2 linked regions of the Macaca fascicularis genome follow. The protein of the gene in region 1 interacts with the protein of each later gene in a biochemical or structural test. Links are inferred from orthologs where the notes say so. Each region holds a gene or a part of one and is shown on either strand. Other genes may lie near its edges. The genes, in order: RXFP3 and RLN3.

Region 1 (4,289 bases):
TTTTACCTTTTGGGGCAGCAACCTGAATAAATTTCCTTAACCAGCCCTTCTAATTACACTGCGTCCGCTCCCTCCCTCAGTGACGCCACTCCCCAGAGAATCGCTCTCCCAAGCTGGTGACAGGTGTTATCCCCCTGCTAACGTCTGAGCTCCGGGGCTGTGCAGCTAGGTCGGGCTCAGTGTGTTCCCGCTGGCCCAGTCCGGAATGATAATCGTCATAATGACTCCATGGGAGGTGGCTTTCCTTTGCCGTTTCTCCTGGGGACGCATCAGGATGGTCAGTTCTCTTTCTTAACTCCAAAAACGTTTCTTGCCTCCTAGCTCTAGATTCCTGGGGCAGCCCCGCAGCAAGTAGGACCTTGGTGTTGCTGCAGTCTCGTTAGCCAAGGCGCAAAGGAGACTTTGTGGCGGCGGCTGCACTCTCCGCAGAAGTCGCAGGAATAAACGGGCACAATTGTCTGCGCATCATTTGGCTAAGCCCTGCTCGGTGTGCCAATTTATCTACATTTTTGCTGCTTCTCTCCGCTTCTGGGCGCCTTCACACTGCCCAGCGTGGGAAGAGTAAGGAAAGCTGTGGGGTGCGGAGCGGAGGTTGGCGGTCTGGCCCGTAGAGCTCATCTCTGCCCCTTTGCCAGCTTCCTCTCTCCACCTGATTTCGAAGCATCCCCTCTCCAGAGAAGGTCCTCCAGCCTATCCACAGGCTCCTCCTCCATGCTCTGTCCATCCTCCTCTCACCTACTTCTTAAATGCTTCCCCCCCGCCCGACTCTGCCCCAAACCCTCCTTAATCCGTTCCCCTCCTTCACCGCCCAGGGAAGGCCACCTTGCCGCGACGGCGTGCCCTGGGCCTGAGGCCCGCGTCAGTAGGCAGAGCTGCTGGGCAGCAGGTCGTAGCGCCCCCCGCTGTAGACCACGACGCCAGGTGGGTAGTAGAGCAGGTCCGGCTCCGTGGCCGCTCGGAGCGGCGCCAGGGCCTGCAGCCCCTGATCCTCGGGCTCCGGCTTGGTAGTGGCGGTGAAGGGGCGCATGCTGGTAAGCGAAGGAGACGCGATGCGCCACAGCAGGCTCTTGAGCGCCTTGCGGAACTCGCGGCGCACGAGACAGTAGAGGATGGGGTTGAGGCAGCTGTTGGAGTGTGCCAGGCACACGCTCACAGGGAACGCGTATACCTGGCACAGGAAATACTCCTGGCTGAAGGGCACTGCATTGAACTTGATGAGGATGCTCCAGGTGGTGAGCGCCTGGTTGGGCAGCCAACACAAGAAGAAGGACAGGACAACGATGGTCACTGATTTGGTCACCTTCGACAGTCTCCGGGCGCTGGCTCCGACCGGGCCTCCTCTGGCTACCGCGTCCCCTCCTTCCCGCCCTGCTACGCGGCGGTCGGAGATGAAGCGCACCAGCAGCAGGTAGCACAAGTTAATGACGCCCAGCGGCAGCACGAAGCCCAACAGCACCTTCTGCAAGTGGTAGAGGCCCAGCCAGAACTGCCTGTCGCGGCCCAGCAACTTGTCCGGGAAGCGCACCAGGCACAGCTCCTCGCCCATCACCTTGACCGTGGTGGAGAAAATGGCATTGGGCAGCGAGGACAGCGTGGCCAAAGCCCAGATGCACACACACAGCGCCTTGGCCGAGAAGCAGCAGCTGTCCCCCAGGCTCCGGCCGCAGCAGTCGCCCTGGCCGTGTCCTCGCGTCCGGTGGCTCTTCAGAGCCGAGGCCACCGAGTGGTAGCGTGTCACACTCATGGCAGTGAGGAAGAAGACGCTGGCGTACATGTTCATGGACGTTACCATGGACACGATCTTACACATGGCCTTGCCGAAGGGCCATTTGAAGTCAAGAGCGTTCTCCACCGCCCAGAAGGGCAGGGTGAGCACAAACTGAAAGTCCGTCAGTGCCAGGTTGGTGATGAAAAGGTTGATAGAGGACTTGCGCCAGCCCTGCATGTTCTTCATCAGGTAGAGCACCAGCAGGTTGCCCGCCAACCCCAGGGCGCACACCACCCAGTACACTACGCTGATAAGAATCCGCACCCGGGACTCGGTGTCCACGCTCTCTGCCCCGCCGCTGCCCGGAGGATGTCCTGGCGGCGCGCCGTCCGGCAACTCCAGCCCCAGCTCCCACCACAAGTCCGGAAGCTGCAGCGACGCGTTACCACTCGTGTTGGCAGCCTCCAGAAGGTCCGGGACCAGACTGAAGAGTTCTGCTAGCTTGTCCCCGCCTGCTGTCTTATTCATGGTAGCTATCGCGGCTGCATCGGCCATCTGCATGCGCAGGTACCTCTAGGTCACGTTCTGGGGACGGTTTACCCCGGTGTTGTTCCCAGGCTAGCCTGCGGGACGTGCGTGGGAGCTTTCAAAGTAGCTGCTGAAGAGAGAGCCCAGGAACTGGGTACTAAGCGCGTCCTGCCGCGCAGCGAACCGCCCTGGACGCAGGAGTTGAGCTCAGCGGCTGCTTTGGAGCAGAGTTGAGGAGCGCAGCCCATAAGGGAAGCACTCGGCGTCCAAGGGTTCTCAGGCCAAGCTCGGAGTCCCTAGGTCCTTATGTACAACGCAGACTTCCCCTCTCCGTGTCCCGCTGTCACTGGGGCATTGGTGCATAACTCCCACAGTCGCTCAATTTTGCGATTTGGGGCCGCTTGCTCCCTTTCAAATACCTTTGTCGGTTTCCTCTGGGACTGCTTGGATGAGGTTTCCGTCCTTGGAGAGAAAGAGATCGTAGAGTTCCATCCACCTCGCTCTGTTGCCTGGAGGTCAGTGGGTGTCTGCGTCTTTCTGCGGTTGTCAACTCCGGGTGGGTTGCCAGCGGTGCTCACCAGTTGCAGTGGCACTTGCATGGCCGAGGCGGCGGGCCCCAAGGAGCATGCGTAATCCGGGGGCGCCGCGAGCGGCGCTTTCCGAGGTGCTGAACCCAGCCGCGCCCGCGCCGCGAGGGAGAGCTGAGTGGCAGGCAAAGCCCACCCGCCAGCTCCCGTTTTCCTCCCCAAAGTTTCAGCAGGAGCAGTCTTAAGCCTTTATTTTGCACCCGCAGGAGAAAGTCGATTTTGACGTGAGTTTCCTCTTTCTTATTCCCAAACATTATGATTAGAAGTTTTTTTTTCTTTCTTCCTCACTCCCACTTTATCACTGGAATTATTCCATTTGGTGAGAAATGGTTCCAAAAATATGAGCTATCCTGCTTACTTTCCTTCTTTAAAGTAATAACAGTGGCCTCTTTTCATGCTCAAATGAGATGATGGGTACTTATTGGATACACAAAGGACAGCTCCACCTCCCAGCTTTAATTAGCTGACCACTTATGCAGTGTCTGTGTTTGTCAGGATTTTCAAAGGGTCTTCACATGGCAGAAGTCTGGGTTCAAGGGTTGCCCCTACGTTAATGTATTCTGAGAGGTGACACAAAAACAGAGCGAATAACTGATGAGCCTACTTCACAGAAATTAAATGCCCTAGGCCCAAAGCGCTTCAGCAAATTGTCTGATCACATACTGCCCACAGTCTCTCTACCTAGATGCAAATAGAATGGAGGATACCACCGGGCTGATCGTGAACCACCAGCCCTCCTATTTCCAGTACTGTTAGCATCAGGATTCTTTTTCAGACATTTTTCAGACTAATGGAAGTACATTCTAAGGACTCTTCCGAGGGAATGAGTGGAAACCATTTGAATTATTTCTCAAACTACAGTCTACATAAATGCCAGGTCAATCGCTCTTGTGTAAATTACACTTTTAAGGATTTACTTTAAAATTTTGAAATGTTTTCCCTTGGTCTGGGACTAAACTGAAACCAAAGTGTCTTAAGCATAATTGTCCTCACTCCTGGAGTCCTACAGAACTCCCAGCTTTACTTAAGGAGATAAAGAGGATGCAACCTTCAAGCTGAGGAGACAAGAACAGAAAAAGAAAGAAAAGAAAAGAAAGAAAGAAAAGGAAAGAAGGAAGGAAGGAAAGAAAGAGAGAGAGAAAGAAAGAAAGAAGGAAGGAAGGAAGGAAAGAAGGAAAGAAAGAAAGAAAGAAAAAGAAAAAAAGAATCTTGATTCCAAAGGACGTTTAGCCCTGAAAAGAGCACACACCTTGCTACGGATGCTGCACTGCTCTGTCCGCCCACTAGAGGGAGTCAGGGCTTTAGTAAAAACCTAACCAAACGAAAACCATCTCCTTTGATCAGTTCTTATCTGGAGATGACCCCTTCCCTGAGGATTCCTCCCGAAGCACAAGTTATTTCTTTGGGTGACTATTACCCTGATTTTAAGTCTCACTTTCACACTCAGTTTTGACTTTATTTTTAAC
Region 2 (4,343 bases), on another chromosome or scaffold:
AGTTCAGAGTTTTGATTCCACCCGGTCCTGGGTTCAAATTCTGGCTCTGCCAGAGTAGGTGGGAGAGTAGCTGGGATTACAGGGGTCTGCCACCAGGCCTGGCTGATTTTTGTATTTTTAGTAGAGACGGGGTTCACCATATTGGCCAGGCTGGTCTCAAACTCCTGGCCTCAAGTGATCTGCCCACCTCAGCCACCCAAAGTGCTGGGATTACGGGAGTGAGCCACTGCACCCAGCCCTGTCATTTATTTTCCCTTACTCTTTATTATTAATTGAGGACCTGGTACATTTGGGAGCTGGGCTGACTGAGCATGAATCCAGCCCCTCCAAGCTGTAATCGTGAGCAAGTAAATTTACTTATTGGAGCCTCAATGTTCTTTTCTGCAAAGTGGAAAAAAATAATTATTCCAACCTTCTCAAGTTTTATAAGGAGTAGAGGAGTTAATATCCATTAAAAAAAAAAAAAACTTAGAACAATGTCTGGGACATGATGAGCACTCAAAAATGATTATTTAGTTCAGGCATGGTGGCTCATACCTGTAATCCCAGAACTTCCAGGAGCCCATGCAGGAGGATCACTAGAACCAGGAGTTCAAGAACAGCCTGGGCAACACAGCACTACCCTGTTTCTACAAATAATAATAAGTTAGACATGGTGGCATAAGTTAGAGATGGTGGCACAAGCCTGTAGTCCCAGCTACTCAGGAGGCTGAGGCAGGAGAATTGCTTGAGCCCAAGAGGTTGAGGCTGCAGTGAGCTGTGATCATACCACTGCACTCTAGCCTGGGCAACAGGGCAAGACCCTGTCTCTAAAATAATAATAATAATTTATTGATCACTTACTGTGTGTCAAACAACGTTTAAGTGCTTTAGCAGGTTAACTTCTTTATTCTTCTGAGTGACAACCAGTTGAGGTGGGTGCAGTTAGCACCCCTATTTTCCAGAGGAGACCACCGAGGCAGGACTCAGTAAAGAATTTGCATGGCCAGGCGCAGTGGCTCATGTCTGTAATCCCAGCACTTTGGGAGGCTGAGGAGGGTGAATCACCTGAGGTCAGGAGTTTGAGACCAGCCTGGCCAACATGGTGAAACCCTGTCTCTACTAAAAATAAAAAGATTAGCGGGGTATGGTGGCACACACCTGTAATCCCAGCTACTTGGGAGGCTGAGGCACAAGAATCACTTGAACCCAGGAGATGGAGGTTACGGTAAGCCGAGATTGCACCACTGCACTCCAGCCTGGGCAACAGAATGAGACTCTGTCTCAAAAAAAAAAAAAAAAAAAAAGCCGGGCACAGTGGCTCACGCCTGTAATCCCAGCATTTTGGGAGGCCAAGGCGGGTGGATCATGAGGTCAGGAAATCGAGACCCTCCTGGCTAACATGGTGAAACCCCATCTCTACTAAAAAAAAAAATAAAAAAAATTAGCCGGGCGTGGTTGCAGGTGCCTGCAGTCCCAGCTACTCGGGAGGCTGAGGCAGGAGAATGGCCTGAACCCAGGAGGCGGAGTTTGCAGTGAGCGGAGATCATGCCGCTGCACTCCAGCCTGGGCGACAGAGCGAGACTCTGTCTCAAAAACAAACAAACAAACAAAAAGATTAGCATACGAACACACAACTATTACGTTGTAGAGTTACTATCTGAATCCAAGTGGTGTGTCTTCTAGGTCCACGCTCATACCTATCCTCCTTCTCACCAACATGAATATCTATTTCCCAGGCCCCTGCCCCTCATGAAGCTAGGTCTTCTGTTCCCTCCGACTCTCCTGATAGATCCCAGACTGTGCCGCTGCCCTGCTTAGACTCTGCCCTAATCTCTTTTGACTTAATCACACCACTTAATCCTGCAAGGTTCAGGAACTGTGTCTCCCATTTGAAGATAAAGCCACTCAGAGACTCCAATCTCAGGAGGATCACTTGAGCCCAGGAGTTCGAGACCAGCCTAGGCAACATAGTGAGACCCTGTTTCTACAAAAAAAAAAAAAAAAAAAATTAAAACTAGCCAGGCGTGGTGTCAGTTGCCTGTGGTCTCAACTACTCTGGAGGCTGAGGCAGGAGGATCGCTTGAGCCTGGGAGGTCAAGGCTGCAGTGAGCAGTGATTGGGCCACTGCCTTCAAGCCTGGGCAATGGAGTGAGACCACATCTCAAAAAAAAAGACAGAGACGGGAGGAGAAACCAGCTTGCTGGAGAGAGGTCACGCATTAGGTGACAAAATCTGGCTATGTGTATATCACACCCTTCACATTTATCTCCTGGAAAGGGTTGGAAACCACTTTGGTGTTGTCTTTGCCAATGGCGCTCTCCCAGCCCCCACCTCCGGAGCATACAAGCAGCAGCTTTGCTTTGCACAGGACACATAGCAGCTGCTCAGAAAAGAGTAACCTGTGCTCGGACTTCCAGCCACCAGGGATGGCTTGCAACCCCCCATCCCAGCTCTGCAGCTCTGCTAACTCCTGAGCCCTTGTGTCAAGGCTGGGCAGGTGTCCCTGGCTGAATGTGGCAGGGCAAGGACCCTCCTCCTCCAGCAACCTCCTCTCATCTCTGTCCTTAGCTCCTGGGACCCATCCAGCCACCCGTTCCCCTCCTACATCCACTCTCTCCCCAGCCTCACCCATAGTCTCGTGGGCCAGGATGTCCGATCGTCTCCACCGGGATCCCCCGCAGGTGAAGATGACTGCTCGGATGAATTCTCGCCCGCAAAGCTTCACTCCGTAAGGCGCTGCCCGGGCTTCAGTCCCCGGCCACAGCTCCCCCGTCAGCACCCACGCCGCCAGGAGCAGCAGCAGCGTGTACCTGGCCATGCTGGACAGAGATGCCTTGGACGTGCGAGTGGGCCAGTGTCTCCGCTGCCTCTTGGCCCCCCATTTATACATCGTGGCTCCCCCACACTCTGCCTGAAGAAAGCTGAGTGCCTCCCTTATCTTCTCCGGCAGAGGGGAGACAGGCACGGCCTCAGCAACCCGACCTTTCTCATGTCCCCAGTGAAGTGATAACCTTTCGCCAGGGACAGGGTGACGTGGCCCAGCTCATTGTCATCATCGACAGAAAGGCGAGAAGGTCTCCATCCTGCAGAGACCAGAAATGAATAATCCCAACAGGCAGGGCAAGAGGATGCAACCAGACCCCCACAACATTAGGGTCCTGGACCTCTTCAAAGATAATAATAACAATGAATGCCCGTGCAGTATGCGCTATGGGGCCAGGCACACTGCTCTAAGCATTTTATTTGTTTATTTATTTATTTTTATTTTATTTTTTGAGATGGAGTCTCGCTCTGTCGCCCAGGCTGGAGTGCAGTGGCGCGATCTCGGCTCACTGCAAGCTCCACCTCCTGGGTTCATGCCATTCTCCTGCCTCGGCCTCCCAAGTAGGTGGGACTACAGGCGCCCGCCACCACACCCGGCTAATTTTTTGTATTTTTAGTACAGACGGGGTTTCACCGTGTTAGCCAGGATGGTCTCTATCTCCTGACCTCGTGATCCGCCTGCCTCGGCCTCCCAAAGTGTTGGGATTACAGGCGTGAGCCATCACACCTAGCCGAAACCACACTTTTAGGAGCATGGGGTTATCAATTTAGGACTAAGACAATTCCCATATTACAAATGAGGAAACAGAGACACAGAAGGGTGTCCTGAGGCAGCAGATGCCAACATTTTTGACACCAGAAACCGGTTTCATGGAAGACAATTTTTCCATGGATGGAGCGTTGGGGGGATGGTTTCGGGATGATTGAAGTGTATCACGTTTGTTGTTGTTGTTGTTTGTTTGTTTGTTTGTTTTGAGATGAAGTCTTCCTCAGTCACCAGGCTGGAGTGCAATGGTGTAATCTCAGCTCACTGCAACTTCTGCCTCCCAGGTTCAAGCGATTCTCCTGCCTCAGCTTCCTGAGTAGCTGAGACTACAGGCACGCACCACCACACCCAGCTAATTTTTTTTTTTTTTTTTTCCGGAGACAGAGTCTCGCTCTGTCGCCCAGGATGGAGTGCAGTGGCGCGATCTCCGCTCACTGCAAGCTCTGCCTCCCGGGTTCATGCCATTCTCCTGCCTCAGCCTCCCGAGCAGCTGGGACTACAGGCACCCGCCAACACGCCCGGCCAACATGGAGAAACCCTATCTCTACTAAAAATACAAAAAAAGCCAGGCGTGGTGGCGCATGCCTGTAATCCCAGTTACTCGGGAGTCTGAGGCAGGAGAATCACTTGAACCCAGGAGGCACAGTCTACAGTGAGCCAAGATTGAGCCACTGTGTGCCAGTGTGGGCGACAGAGTGAGACTCTGTCTCAAAAAATAATAATCATAATAATAATCATCAAATAAAAATTATATATATATATATATACATAT

Evidence for each region.
Region 2: the proteins of RXFP3 (region 1) and RLN3 form a complex in vitro, tested with the Homo sapiens proteins (2 studies listed by BioGRID, with this or other methods). The link is inferred for Macaca fascicularis from reciprocal best matches to the Homo sapiens genes RXFP3 and RLN3.

What each region holds. Positions count from the first base shown.
Region 1 is NC_088380.1:34,565,394-34,569,682, reverse strand, and holds the start of RXFP3 (relaxin-3 receptor 1), read right to left. Parts: upstream 2,855-4,289; 5' UTR 2,270-2,854; coding exon 860-2,269; 3' UTR 1-859. UniProt on the Homo sapiens protein: Receptor for RNL3/relaxin-3. Binding of the ligand inhibit cAMP accumulation.
Region 2 is NC_088393.1:14,448,264-14,452,606, reverse strand, and holds the start of RLN3 (relaxin-3), read right to left. Parts: upstream 2,839-4,343; 5' UTR 2,801-2,838; coding exon 2,611-2,800; intron 1-2,610. UniProt on the Homo sapiens protein: May play a role in neuropeptide signaling processes. Ligand for LGR7, RXFP3 and RXFP4.